Drosophila melanogaster: one gene and its partners. The protein of the gene in region 3 interacts with the protein of the main gene of each other region in a pairwise test. Each region holds a gene or a part of one and is shown on either strand. Other genes may lie near its edges.

The links.
Region 1: the proteins of bard (region 3) and CG15529 interact in a two-hybrid assay, tested with the Drosophila melanogaster proteins (one large-scale study listed by BioGRID).
Region 2: the proteins of bard (region 3) and CG14151 interact in a two-hybrid assay, tested with the Drosophila melanogaster proteins (one large-scale study listed by BioGRID).
Region 4: the proteins of bard (region 3) and CG11444 interact in a two-hybrid assay, tested with the Drosophila melanogaster proteins (one large-scale study listed by BioGRID).

The regions. Positions count from the first base shown.
Region 1 is NT_033777.3:30,150,044-30,154,254, reverse strand, and holds CG15529 (uncharacterized protein), read right to left. Parts: upstream 2,197-4,211; 5' UTR 2,075-2,196; coding exon 1,861-2,074; intron 1,613-1,860; coding exon 1,236-1,612; 3' UTR 1,167-1,235; coding exon of another isoform or gene 1,036-1,166; 3' UTR 975-1,035; coding exon of another isoform or gene 650-974; 3' UTR 556-649; downstream 1-555. Other genes in the region: CG11498 (uncharacterized protein), read left to right, coding at 650-974, 1,036-1,166.
Region 2 is NT_037436.4:10,627,180-10,630,329, reverse strand, and holds CG14151 (uncharacterized protein), read left to right. Parts: upstream 1-1,845; 5' UTR 1,846-1,876; coding exon 1,877-1,990; intron 1,991-2,050; coding exon 2,051-2,282; intron 2,283-2,344; coding exon 2,345-2,589; 3' UTR 2,590-2,650; downstream 2,651-3,150. Other genes in the region: CG42535 (uncharacterized protein), read left to right, coding at 35-115, 169-230; CG42536 (uncharacterized protein), read left to right, coding at 334-465, 529-612, 671-818, 872-970, 1,021-1,112; CG34238 (uncharacterized protein), read right to left, coding at 2,955-3,150.
Region 3 is NT_033777.3:18,079,219-18,083,125, reverse strand, and holds bard (bard), read right to left. Parts: upstream 2,079-3,907; 5' UTR 2,006-2,078; coding exon 659-2,005; 3' UTR 543-658; downstream 1-542.
Region 4 is NC_004354.4:4,552,566-4,556,078, forward strand, and holds CG11444 (uncharacterized protein), read right to left. Parts: upstream 1,834-3,513; 5' UTR 1,418-1,833; coding exon 770-1,417; 3' UTR 552-769; downstream 1-551. Other genes in the region: CG3527 (uncharacterized protein), read left to right, coding at 1-333.

The DNA of each region.
Region 1 (4,211 bases), about 12 Mb from region 3:
CAATGCTAATAGATATTTTTCTATACAATTCTTAAGGCTATTCAAATAGAATAAAGCCCTTGTCAAAAGTGAAAAAATAGCGATTGTTTTAAAATTGGGACGAACTCTTCCAATTGGCATTTGGCAGGTCAAAAGCTGATAAACTTGATCTTGAAGTAGCTCAGCGTACGAACTGCTTGCACTGCTTTCGTTTGGAAATTTAGCACAGCACAATGACTCTCAAACTGTGAGACCAATTCATCCAGCGAAGATTACTTTCAATTTTCAAGTGCTTGGCCATCAATTATTTCCAGCCAAGCCCGTGGGCTCTGGATGCTTTAAATCCTGTCGGACCACAAACTGCGATTGCAAAATATCAATTTTGCAAGATCGAATTCGCACTAGAGGATGATTAGGCGTTGGTGCAGTGAAAATGTGAGGGAAAGTGGAGCCCCCAGGGTGTCAGAAAATTACGTAGGCGCTTGGGATTTGAATCACTTTCGATCTCAGATGAACGACACTTTTGCAGGGAAATGGTACCATCAAGATTAGTTGATAATAATAAGTCACATATTTATGATTTTCGAAAAACTATTTATTCATTCATAAGTAAGTCTAATTAGATAGTCATCTAATTGATAATTTTCTTAACTTATTGGTACTTGTGTAGCTCTCCTTCCGCCTGTGCCACGGAATGCGGGAGCGAAAGGTCCTGGAAGTTCGGCGAGTCCTGAATTGCCCCTTGGACAGCAGCAGTGAGACCACCTTGTCCCTGGACAGATCCGTTCGCCAGCACCTCTTCGAGACCGCCGAGAGTTTCCCGTTGGGCGAGATCGAGCGGTCGGTGTTCAACCAGGTGCTATCTACTCTGCACGAGTACCCCTGCCTGGAGTCCTGCCCCCCGTTGACGCACTACGTCAGTGCCTGTGTCCGACTGGCCTGGAGGATGATCAACCAGAAGGCGCCGTACTACCTGGACATGGACTTCAACCTGGGTGGGTTTTAAGCTACTCTTTAATCGTTTAACAATCTTACACCTACGTAAATCCCATGCAGGTTTCCTGAGGCCCGAGAAACACGAGCGGCATCCCCAGGCGGACCGGCGATCGGATCTGATAAAAGCCTTCCTCTGGCCCGCCCTGATGCAGAACAACCAGTGCGCCTTCAAGGCGGTGGTGGCCACCTGAGCATCGTCTTAAGCTAACCCCATTTGTACATACTTGCCCTCTCTTATGCAATAAAGATTTGACCCCTAGCTAAGCGTAACTGATGGGACGGAGTTGGACGCACTGGCTCCGGACCTTGTTGGTGCAGAGAAGTGGATGCTCCGTGTAGAACTCCACGATTTCCGAGGGGGATCCGAAGCAGCGCTCCTGAGACTTCTTCTGACCAATGGCATAGCGTTGTCTCCTATCCACTTGCCTTATGAACAGGTGATAGTACTGATCCGCCGCCCAGATGCTCACTATGTAACGGATCCACTGGTCGGCTGCCTTGAAAGGTCGAACCAGGCAGGACCCGTCCTCTCGTCCATGGAGCATTCGCTCCGCCGTAGGACGATCCACTGTGAAGTAGTACTGCTCCTTTTCCACATGCCTCTCCTCAATCTCCGCGTAGTTGACATCGGCATCGTCTTTGCGGAATTAAAAATGTTGTATTAGTAATTGGACCTATTTACCGCTTAATCTTCTAATTGAGTATTACTCTACATTAATTTATGCCTCTGTAGTTATCTATTATTTATCAAATTTCGATCATTTAAACTTAAATTCGAGTTAAATTTAGCTCTACGAACTGTATCGTGCTTTCTGTTTTGGTTTATATGCCGTCACTCTGGGGATTTGGCTTTGTTTTGAAACCGAGAGATCGATGCGTACTCACCCACAATGACGTAATCCTCACGGGGCTGCTGTTGTGGATCGTCGTCGGTGCTGGAAACCCGTTCTGCGACGTCACCTTCCTGACTGGCCTGCCGCTGATAACCGAAGCAGCAGCTACAGAAGGTGGGCGATCTGACTTCCATCAGGCTGTCCATCATGCGAGCCAGGAGATTGTGCAGAACCGTCCAGTAGACACGTGCACACCAGCAGCACATGGCGCCAAACGACACAGTAGAGCAGTCCTATTCCCGCGACCTTGGATTAGATGGATCGGTGGCACTGAGACCGCCGCTCCCGGCAAACATCTTTCGCTATCGAGCTGCGCTGAAGACTGACTACTTTGTGACCAGAACCAGACGAGGAACCAGAACCAGAACCCAGAATTCAGAGCCCGAGAACAGAAGCCGTCTCGTCTGGCAGTGCTTATTAATTAAAATGTGTCTACTGCTCGGTTGTGGGGCGGCAGAAATGTTCATATTTAAATAAGATATGGATATGGCTGGTAAACAAAATTCACATTGGCAAGAACGCGGGAACTCGGATAGTTTGAAGCCCGGCGAGTAACTGGATACTCCGAGTGCAGTGGGGAGATCAGCTCTCTGTTCTTATACACAATGAGAAATGCAGTCAACCTTTCTGTGCTTAATATCTCACAATTTAATTATCTGTAATGTCTTTATATATAGAGAGATCCACTGAAAGAACGCAGTTTAAACGTACATAACGAAAATAGGATTATTTTTGAGTGTACAATTCTTTGCAGTGTACATGTGGGCAACGACAATTATTAAACGTTTAGCACCCATGCATTTTCCATACCCCCCCCCCCCACCATTTTTCCGACTGACTGTGGAATTCATTGAATGTGCCTGCAATTTTTGGTGGGGAGGGGTTCCCCATATCGCATTTCTGCGGCTCTACATAACCGAGACCGAATGGATACGAGTGGCCAACATATGGATCTGAGCCGTTTGCCCGCTCTGCTAAAAAGTTTGAGAACTGAGTTTGTTTTGCTGATCTGTTGTTTTTATTAATGAGCTGTTGATAGTGCTGGTTAAGTCCCATTTGATAGGCATTCAAAAAATTCTATAATTATAAATCCTATAAATTGTAAATATGACTTTTTGGTCCAAGCTCGATTTCCCTGTTTTTGGTTAAAAAATAATGCGTTTTTTGGACACAACTTTGAAAATAATGGTTCAAAAGTGGAGTGGCATATCTTATTTTACTCCTAATTAACTTCCCAATCGATTAGTGTTCAAATTTGGAAACTTTAAATTTTTGCGATTTTTTGCAAAATTTGATGATGTTACCCCTTATAAAAATTCGAAAATTGACAAAAAAATTTTTTTTTCTTAATTCGAAAAAACGGGACAGGGATCGTAAGCATTGGTAATTAGCTGCACAAAACAGTAATTATTTTTACTTTACGACCATTTTCAGTCAAGAAATATTGAAAAAACCACTTGGAAACATGGATTATTTTGATCAACTAGTTTTTCTCATTTTCCATCCAAAATAATCGTTTTATTTTTACAAGGAAATTATCCATGTTAAAGATTAAATAATCATTTAAAGCGTTAAGCATTAGCTGAGACACAAACCTTTCGAAGTTTTACCGTAAGCTTACCAACGGCTGTGGTGAAGCTCTCCCGCTGTCTCTGTCACTCGCACTTCCCTGTCTCTCGCACAATTTAAATATTTCTTAAAATTCAAAAGCAATTAAAGTGCGGTCATAAATTGTGCGAGCTGACTACGCTCCGAATCGATTGCATTCAAATCTCCTTGTAAAACCCAAAATGGGCGTGCAAATTGCCAGCACGTGGACCCATAGATATGGTTCTAAAACTTACAGATCCGGGCAAAAAGAGTGCTGCTCAGTTCATTACGTATACGCCGGATTGGCTGCAGCAAGCATCGCGATTTTGTTTGCACATCTAAAGCAGTGACTATTCGCTAGACAGAAGGCAAACATCTTCGCAGGCCAGTCACGTGCACGTAAATGTCAATAAAACGATATTCCCAGTCGATGGTGATGGTCCGATATGATATTGTAGTATGGGGGCATTAATAATACCCGATGCTCGAGCAATACGATCGCACTCCGCTTGACACAGTAGCAGCCCCAACATCGGGCAATTAATATGCGGCAAACAATTTTGATGAACTGCTAACAAGCCGATGGATCGATGGGGGTTTTATGGGGGCTTCTGGTTCTATACCGGGATGACAGCCCATAAAGCAGCACAATGGCACAAATTGATTTTGGCCAAACGATTATTTCGGGGGTTGCGTGCTCTTGGGCACATCCGCATCGAAAAGTAGTACCCCTCCGAAGCCAAGGATCAACCA
Region 2 (3,150 bases), on a different chromosome or scaffold from region 3:
TCAAATACAATTCTAATGTTAAGTATAATTTTAGTTGTTGAAAGCGCCTGCATATATTTCATACATCGGTACTATCAGATTATGGATGAATCGAAAAAGAAGAGGACCCTATGTTGTAAGATAGCTTTAAACTAATATTACATTTTACTACTAATCGATTTTATATAGGTGGCGGAAAAAACGAAAAGAAAAAGTCTAAAAGCCCAAAAAAGAAGAAAGGCAAAAAATAAGATCTTTCAACTTTAGTTGGCTTTGTATTTCCGTACTAAAAAAATATATATTTATTAGATTGTTTCAAACATTTGTGTATCGAATAAATTTATTTCTTACAAAATGTCTATTGAATCGGGAGAGCTAAAGTTGCCTACGGATAATCTCCTAAGGACATGCTTTGTTATTGGCGCTTTTGAACTGGTGCGTTCATTGTATTTTTCATTTAGTTCAGTTTCACTCATGGTCTTGCACGTAAGTATTGTATTTGAAAAGAACGTTCTTTAACATTTTTAGCCATTTATTGTTTTGCATTAGACGAATTGGTATACCATAATGGCCTTTCTAAGTACAATAGCTTGGATTGCGACCGTTGGTGGACTGTTTGTTGGTTTATTGACAGTAAGAATTAAAAAAATTTACCAACTATATACATATTTAACTGTTTCGTATTAATTAGAGTCGACCAACTCTGCTCGTATTTTGGTTACTGTTCACTGCCTTTGCAACTGCTACGGATATTATTTATTTAATATGGAATGTTACTTCATCTCCTATTTTCGACGCAGAACATTTAAAGCGCTGGACCATTTCATATTTGGGAATCTGTATGTTTTTAATTTAATAGCATTCTTAGACATTGAATTATAAATCTTTGCAGTTTACGAGGTCACTTGCTTATACTTGGTATTCAGATACTTTAGGAGATTATATTCCTACGTCCTTTTGGAGGGTGATAATTATGATACGACTACTAAAGGTGAATAGCTTAAGCACAGATTTATACGATATACTATACATAAATTTCAGATAGAAAAACAGAAGATTACAGAGATAATGAGACTCAAACCCAATCTCCAAGTTCAAAATACAGGACTTCTGGAAGATCTTCTAAAGGATAAAATGCCAGTTTGGACAAAAACAGCAAAAAGCTTGATTAATAATGATCATTTATGTTCGTTTCATTATGTTCAATGTCCACACACGGTTCAAAATCCCTTTGGAGTTACTAAAATAAATTAAAAATGGTTTTCTTCATGTGTTATTTGGATTTCTATTTACGGGAAATCAATTCCCGACCCCCCATAAGCAATGATAATAATTGACTTATACAGTTTTCCATCTATTTTCCGATGCCTGCGAGGACGATAGGTGGTCACGTTGCCATCGAGGGACCAGGAAAAAGGACAATTCAATCTCCAGGACCTGCTGACAAAACAAATGCCATAAATGAGGAACGAAGTTCGCCAGCAAAAAGCAGTTCACATTGGTTTAGAATGTTTTGGGAATACACTTGGCAGCTATTTTTAGAGCTCAGTATTTGAATGAAGAGATTATAAATGCATGTAATTTAGATGTATAAATTAAAACGGAAATTACAAAAAAATTCATGAAACTAAATATAATTCGCAGGAACATTGAACTTGGCATATATTGAAAACTTCTGTAGTGTATTGTACTTTTGGCCACTGAGTCTCCCTACATTCCCACGCTTGAATACCACTGTGCTGTGTCCATGAATGTTGGCAATCAAACGGCTTTGATTAACAGGCCGCCAAGACCCGAGTAACCCCCTTCTCCAATCGCCAAGTACGTGCTTATCATCATTATAGCTTTGATTTAGTAGACAACATTGCCAGTGATGTGATGAATCTTAGCCTGGGCGATGGGGTCAAATTCTGATGGATATTTAGTGCCCTGTGCCTATTGCATCGCCTTGCTGGACTTCATATCCGCCCTGCTATTCGCAATTATCTCAGGAGTGGTATTTGCCAGGCATGTAAGACAATTAGGCCACAGTCCTTTCAGGGAAATTGTGGCTCAATTTTGGTATTTGCAGGGTCATTGGACCGCCTTGGTTGCACTGATCTTCACCATTTTCTGGATGGTTATAATCATAGTTTTGATGGCGGGTATCTATAGGCGAAAACTGGGACTGGTACGATTCTGGTTGGTGTTCACCTGCTTGGGAATACTTCTAGATGGATTTATACTGCTCTACGGCCTGACCTTGGCCATATCTGTGAACTGGGAAGGTGTCAAAATCACAGTGCTGCCCTTCGTAGGACTGGGTAGGTCTAAATAATAATTAGCGTATTTAATTTACTGAATATATAATTGAATTTCCTTTTAGCCGTGGAAATGACTTTTGTCTATATCATATACCTACTTTATCTGGATATGATTGATTACAGTGCAACAGAAACGCCTCCCGATGAGAAGTATAGAGAAAGGAGTGGCTGTGATGTGAAATACGCTGAGGAAGAGGAAAAGCCACTGGATCGCAAGGATCTGAAACGGATGGAAAAACAAGCCAAGGAGCGTATGAAAAAAGATAAAGCCGTTCTCAAAAAACTTCAGAAACAAATGCGAAAGTGAAGGTATTAAGTGTTTAAAGTATTGATTTTTATATTTTTAAAATAAACATGAAATTGAATGCATTGATTTGAACTTTTCTTTTTGTCTGAGACAAGCTCTTTAACTTTTATCACACGCAGGATGCGGACCACTCACACCTACACAAGCCACTCACACACACACACACAAGAACGCCAATGTTAAACACAAAATCCTTTTAAAATAATTTGCTCAGCAGTGAGTAAAGAAAAAATCTAGAGATACAAATGCAGCTAAACGAATTCGAAGAGTTGCATGCCCTGTAGATAAATAATATATTTTTAATATTTTTACAAACTTGTCTTTTAATATTTTAGCTATAAAATAAATATATATAACCCTTCATTTTACGTTGTTGAGCTGCTGTCTGAAGGTCTGAAAAAACCCATCTTCATTGGTTGTGACGGAGAGTTTTTAACTATTTTTCCCCTGCTATTTTGGTTTTGAATAGGTCTTTTGGTTTCGCCATAATTAAAATGATGCCTTTGGTGACTGTGTTCTCTTTCATAATCCATACAAGCTTCCTGTTGTGCTATTTTTGTG
Region 3 (3,907 bases):
ATAAAACAAAGTTTACATATTCATTATGGAATAACCAAAATATTAACAATTACACACAAATTATAGTTAAACATCTATAATCTAGCTTATTTGAAAGCAGTTGTATTGCGCCAACCCTGAAGTAAGAGAGCCAAATCCCCAATGCCATGCCAAACTTCACTTCTTTTGGCCAGTTGGCCAATGGTCAGGAGTTTCGGTGATCGGGGAACTGAGCCGGACAGTCGGCAAAGAGCTTTGGGCACTTTGCGAACTCATTTTCCGACTCAATCAAATCAAATAATTTATGCCTCGCGAAATTAACTGGCCATGTGAGTGGAGGTCATGCCACATGTGAGGAGAGTCCAAGAAGCCATGACGGCAACTTGGGGCCCAAAGCACAGTTAAATCTTTTCGCTGGCCATAAAGTGTGTTGATTTTTCCATTTGCCAGACCCTAAAGCGCTGCAATGCGAAATAAATAAATGTTTGCCGTTGAAGGAGAGACCTCTTGGAAAATTGCCTGCAATCGGGGAGTGTTTGAGAATGAAAATGTGCGTTGCTTTTGATTTAGCCAGTGCGTCTTATTTATATACAATAGAAAATATAAAAAATTACAAAATTCATGAAAAAAAATATTTGTTTAGGAGTATATACAATTGGTAAAATTGTTGAGCTGTTATTCACTCAAAATCAAACTCGAAACCATCCTCCTGATATTCGTATTCGCTGCTGTCACAGGTGACCTGAACATATTTGTTGCTCTGCCAGTGATAATATTCCTCGGGTGTGAAGTTGCCCCACATCATGTCGCTGAACACCTGCAGTGGTCTGGGATTCCTTTCCTGATTGCGAATATTCACGAGCTTAGTAAGTTTCTCCCAGTTGCTGTGGTAGCCGTTCAGAGCCAAGTGCTCCAGATTGACGCACTCGGCGACCAGTTCCAGGAGCTGAGTCTCCCGCACAATCTCCCAGCCACTGAAGCTGAGCACCTCCATTTGTTGGCAGGGCATGTGCTGGCGATCCAGGAAGAAATCATTGTGGCACCAATTCTCGCATATCACCTTCCTCAGCTTGGGCAGTTCGAGGAGCAAACTTTGCTGCCACCGAGCTGGCAATTGAACCACTTCGTTGTTCAGGGCAATTCGGGTGATCCTTTCGCTTTTGGCCACCACAATCTGCTGGAAGATGGTCTCCTGATCTGCGTTCAATTGCCGCGAATCATCGAATCGCACGGATAGTTTCTGTAACTTGGGCAACTGCAGCACCTCCGATAGCATGCATTCTACGGTGCTCAAGTTGATTTTTAGCACTTCCAGATTGGGCAATTTGATGTCTGTGAGTCTCACACAACTGTCGAACTGATCGGTAATGTCAAGGACTCTCAAATTGGTCATTGTCAGACAGATATCCTGAATCCAGCGGCTATCCAATGGCACCGAATGGTACAAGGAGTTGAATACCAGCTCCTCCAACTTCTTGAAGCCACGCATATATAAGCCAGATAGATTCATGCAGGTCATTAGGCGCTTGAGATTGGGCAACATTACCGTCAAGTCGCGGATGTCCTCATCGACCACTGTGTTGGGATTGCCCGCCAATATGCAAGTGTCCACCTTGGGAAACTTGGTGATATTGATATCGCACAGGTGTGTGATATAGTCGTAGAATTCAGAAAAGGAACCAACGCCGTCGTGAACGTGCAGATCCGTGAAGCTATCAGCCATGTGTTCCATAAAGAAGACATAGTCATCGATGTCCAGGAGTCCAAGGAATGGTGTATTTGGACCGATGATCAGGTGCAGTCGCCTCTGCCAGAACTTGAGAATCTGTGGCATGAACTGTGGATAGGCCCTAGCCATGCGTACCTGATCGATCAGATTGTCGATCTCTTCGAAAATCTGCTCGAAAAATATAATGTGCAGGTTGTCGATGTAGTTCGGTTCAATTTCCTCCATCGGTGAACAGGTATTATTTTGCTGGGCAACCAGAGCGTCCTTGTAGAATGCGGTATTGTGCATTTGCGACATTGTATGTATTGTCTGTCAAATGTGATGACTGCTGTGTGTTGCTTCCTCGAAGGCTGCTGTTGGTTGAATGTGCTCTTGTTTTGATGAATCTAAGTTTTTATGCAAATTTAGGTAGTGCATTTAGTGAGGGAGTGAATCAGGTAGTAGTGGGGAAGGATTACCCAGTGTCCTTATCTCTTTTGCAGGCTAATCCTTTGGCAACAGCTGTGCCAGCTTTCAGTAGTAGTTACCTGTAGTTACCTGATCTGTAGGATCGCGCCATGATCGCGCCGGTCCTCATAAATTGCGCCGTCGTATACTGCCTGCAATTTGTAAGCCTGCGCTGTTGTTGTTGCTGCAGAAAAAAAACCCTATCTGTACAGTTATCGCTAGAGAGACTCACTAGTTTGCATATTACACGAACCCAGACGTGTTCCCAGCCAACTTCTCTAGCAACTGCCCTGTTCCAGTCCAGAATCTTGGCCGGATGCGTTGGACAAAACGTGGTCAGCATTCGGCTTTGCCTGGCTTGGCTTCTAGGAAATGCTAACAACTCTCGCAGAGGAATCGTAAACGAAGAACAGTCCCACCAAATGGAATAGAATAGAATGGAATGGATTCTGTGCGAGCTTCAACGATCTAATAATCAAAGCCATGTGTTTTTGTCTGGCAGCTTAGCGAGCGATTAGAGGAATCACAATCACAGAAGACACTGAAAAAGAAACTGCACAGTTTATTATCCGAAGAAATACATTTTCTTTTAAAGATACAGTGTTAGAATTATCTTTATATTAAGGGAGAAACGTAGCTGATGAAAACTGTCGAAGCGATTAAAAGCGAATCCTTTTCACTAAAGTATGTCCAAGGAATATATATGTTAAAAGTAAATGTTATAAGATCACAAACCTTTGTTAATAATATATTTAACATATAATAAATTGAAAAAATCATATATAGGAAAGTAAAATATAAAAATATCAAAAATTGAGGTACATTCTTAGTTTGATTTCCTTTAAAATCTAGTAAAATTTTGCTAGGATAGACTTAAGTACAATTATTAAATAATTTTTGTGAGTGTTGAAGAAGGTTCACACCGTTTCCCGGACAAACTTGTACAGTTGCCCTGCGTTTCCCATTGATAATTCTTGGATACCCTCTGTTGTCAATTGTCATTGGGTTGGCTTTTGTCCAGGGACTAATGGCATTGTTGTCAGCCTTGTGTGCGTCTATGGCCTGTCAAAGCATAAAACTGGGCAACAGACAATGCTGACAATCTTGAGCGGGGAGCCAACTTCTTAATGTAGATATAATGCACATTTCTATTTTGGCCCGGTTGGTGAAAATATTTTCATTTGTTCATATTTTTCAACAACTTTGTTGGCTACACCTCAAATCTGATGTTTATGAATTCTCAGCGACTCTGTTTTCTTCTTTTGGGAAAACGTTGCTTCACACGAGATTTGGAAAACGGGTTGGGGTATATCTCTGATGCAAATGCACTTGTCTCTGGTATTCGTTTTTTTCGGCTATAATATACTTTTTTTTTTTTTTTTGGTTGGTCTCTGTTTGACTGTCTTATCTGAGATCAGTGTCGATCAAGGCAGCAGACGAATTGGGAAACATGACATACCGAAGTATGTGTATGTATGTGTATATGTATGAGGGACTCGAGACTGTTTTAATAATTTTGACGTAATCACATCACAACAATCTACCGTGGAGGCTGTTGGCTTTTGACTTTTCCTGACTCCCAAGTGGACAGTTCTTTTTAGCCTCGATCTCTGCCTGATTTGTTCATTTAAATGAATTACAATATTTTATCTTTACACAGAGATCGTTGGAGCTTAAAACGCTGTTCACATACATATCTCCTTTGCATTATTTGCAGGTAAATAAAAATGAAAAAGTTGAGAACTTTCCAAG
Region 4 (3,513 bases), on a different chromosome or scaffold from region 3:
AAGTTCCAAATTCGCGCCAATGACTCCTCACGTCGTCTGATGAGTGTCATTAAGAATCCGATTACGGATCATGTGCCGGTCGGTTGCAAGAAGTACGCCATGAGCTTCTCTGGCAAACTATTGCCCAATTGCCGGGATCTGGTGCCACATGGTGACGAGACGTCGGCCAGCTATGATGAGCCGGTGGTCATCGTTATTGGAGCCTTCGCACATGGCGTTCTCAAAACGGACTACACGGAGGAGCTGTTCTCCATTAGCAACTATCCACTTTCGGCGGCCATCGCGTGCTCCAAAATCTGTTCCGCCTTCGAGGAGGTTTGGGGCGTGGTATAATCCAAGTCCAAAGCATTGTTTTTCTTAGTTTAGTCATAGCTAGTAGTTAGTCTACATATTATTCTTTTGATTGCCTTCCATTAAAATTTGGTGGAATATCCAGACCAGAATACTATTTTCATCTTTCTTAAAGTTTAGAACATACAAAGACGCTTATATATATAGTTATAATATAATCTGGGATCCTAATTAATCATCACGAAACACACGCACTTTCTCTGTTTTTACAATTAGTTGGTTTATTTATGTTAATTGCAGTTACAAAAGATAGGCTTAGAAAACTTGCATAATTTTGAAGGTATGTTTGCGGTAATTTATGCTTAACTAATTGCACTGTTCATCAAAAGGATTATTGCGAATTTTGTATACGTTGCACGATTGAGAGCTCTATTAAATCCCACATGGGAAAGGGAAGGTTTCAAAAGGGATGGATTATCTACTTGGCACCCGGCTTTTTGGTGCCCACATCGGCTGCCTTCTTTTCCGCCTCCCGCTTGGCGGCCGCCTCCTCGCGCTGCTGCCGGATCAAAGCCAATCTGGCCAGATCGGCCTTAGCCTCGGTGGTTTTACCAGCAGCATGGAGTTTCTCGTAACGCTGGCGCGCTCTCTGCTTTTCGATCTGTTCGCGTTCGCGGCGAGAAAGCTCCGGCTTGGGATTACCGCCGGCACCGGCTGGCCCGTCGTCCAGCTTGATGGCCGATAGCTTTTGTGTGGCCTTCTTGGTCACCCGGTTGGGATTCTCGATTTCGATGAGTGAGGCCACGCCCTTCTTGGCATCGCGCGCTTCCGCTTCGGAGTCATCGTCGGAATCCTCGCCAGACTCCGATTCCGAGGAACTTGCCGCACCGGCGCCCGCCGCTGATCGAGACTTTTGATTGCGATTCACGGGCGCTTTACGTGTGGCGGGTGCCTTGGCTTTGGACGCAGAGGAACTGGCTTTGCCGCCGGCAGCGTCTTTATCGTCGCTATCTGATCCCGAGCCGCTGGTCTGGTCGCTATCCTCCTCCGATTCCTGTTGCAGTTCCTCGGGAGATGTGAAATGGCGACTGCGACCTTTGTGGTTGACGAACTTTCCTCGTGGCATGATGATTTATGGACTGATCCTTACGGTTTCCCGGGTATTCGCAGGTCTCTCCTCCTGTATGTCCGATGTGCTTGTATCTAGAGCTTTTACTCTGGCTACGTTAACGGATTCTTACGGTCCGTTTATGTTTCGAAAATTATCTATATTTAATCACGTTGTAAAAAATTTTTTTGCACTATTCACAGTGTTGTACAGTGCCGGTCAAAAGTGCGCCCGTGCATTCACTGCATAGTAATACCGCATAAATAACACGAATGGTAATACCGTATCACGCCTGGCGCCCTCAAGTGTTCAAGTTTGCTGTACTCGGTAATTAACCGCTTCCATAACCGTTTCAAAACAAAGCGGGAAATTCGAAAATGTCTTTGGTTGTTTAATTTTTTGAATTTGCTTATTTTTTTTTTTTTTTGCTCACTTCGCTTGACTAGCACTTTGAATAGGAGCCTACTTAGCGTAGTTTCTGAGCATTGCAAGTAACTTTGGGATAAACTCTTTAGTTTTATGATTTTTTGTTTATCATTGTAATTCTAAAATATAAAATATTTGTATACATTGGAAATTAAATACATATATAATTTCCTTGCCCTTCACCTGCTATCTATCTGTATATAATCTCACTAAAAAATATCCCGATTTTGGAAGTGTGCTCTTTGCGGCTTTTATAAGAAAAAAAAACGGAAAACTGCTTAAAATTGAAATAAATAAGGCACACGTGTTGGGAATTCTCATTTGGGCGATGGCAAACCATAAATTAGTGGTACATATTCCACTCTTTTCTTTTTATTGGGTCAACACCATCGATTGAAAGAAGAAAAACCGATTTTACTTTTACTCACTGATTGGTTTCTTTTTTGAAACCGCCATTTTGTCGATTCGCTGCAACTGCAACTGCAGCTGCACAGAATCTCGAGATGCAGGAAAACGTGATTATGTATGTATGTATGTTTGTGTGTATATAAATGAGTCGCACTGGCATTGGTCTGCTGCTGTGATTTGCCGGAAAACCAGTTTTTCTTCGCTTTTCACTGGCCGCCCGCCACAAGTTGCAAGCGAATAATGCGGCATTAATAACCAGAAATAAACGAAAATCGTTTTGCATATTTGTGTCAGCGCACATTCCTCGATATCATGCATCTCATTAACGGAAACTCTCACATATGTACAACTTATTGATTTTGGCCGGCAAGAAAAAAAAAACACAAAAAAAAAAAACAATAAAAAAAGAGCCAGAAATATAACCAAATATAATATACTCGAAAATTTAATGCACGAATTAATTATGAATTCCATGTGTGCTCGCCACGAAAGCGGCAAACAAATATTCAAAAATTCATCGTAAATGCTGTTCTTCTCGCCCGCTCTTCATTTCCCCCGATTGTTAAGTGAATAAATTTAAATGAAAGTTCTTTTATTTATTGCTATTACAGCGGCAAGATGCTGCTTATGCACTTAGAAAGTGCGCCATGCAAATGAGAAGAAATTAGTTAATGGAATTCTAATTGCGTATACGCACTTTCTTGCTGCGTGCGTCAGTTTTTTTTTTTTTTATACGATCACTCAGATCGGATGGCGTATAAACGTATATCTACTATATATCTATGCATGTGTGTGTGTGTGTGTGTGTGTGTGTTGTTGTGTTGCAGGTGGGCCAGGTTTTCGTAGGCGTGTGGGTGCGGGATGTTTGCACACTAGCGATGGGGAAGTTGCCCCCGCGTTGTAAACACCTTATGATATAATTGTAATTTCGGCATAGAACAATTTGTATAACTATGAAAAAGAAGAGCATTAACTTATATTCATTTTTTTTCTTGCTCAACTTTTTGCAGTCACTGTGCACAGTGGACAATGGACAATGGACACTTCTCCCGACATTCGGCACTCGACTTCACTGTGCTCTGATTCCCGATACGATCGTGGTATATGCACATGTACATACATATGTACATACCATGTGTGTACAAATGTACATATGTATAGTAGAGCAGGCACTGTGATGTCTCGCCACAAATGGGTCGATGACAGATTGCGTTGGTTGCTGAGGCTGATTGTGATAAAAAAAAAAAAAACAGAGCGCACAGAGTACAAAATCGAAAAGA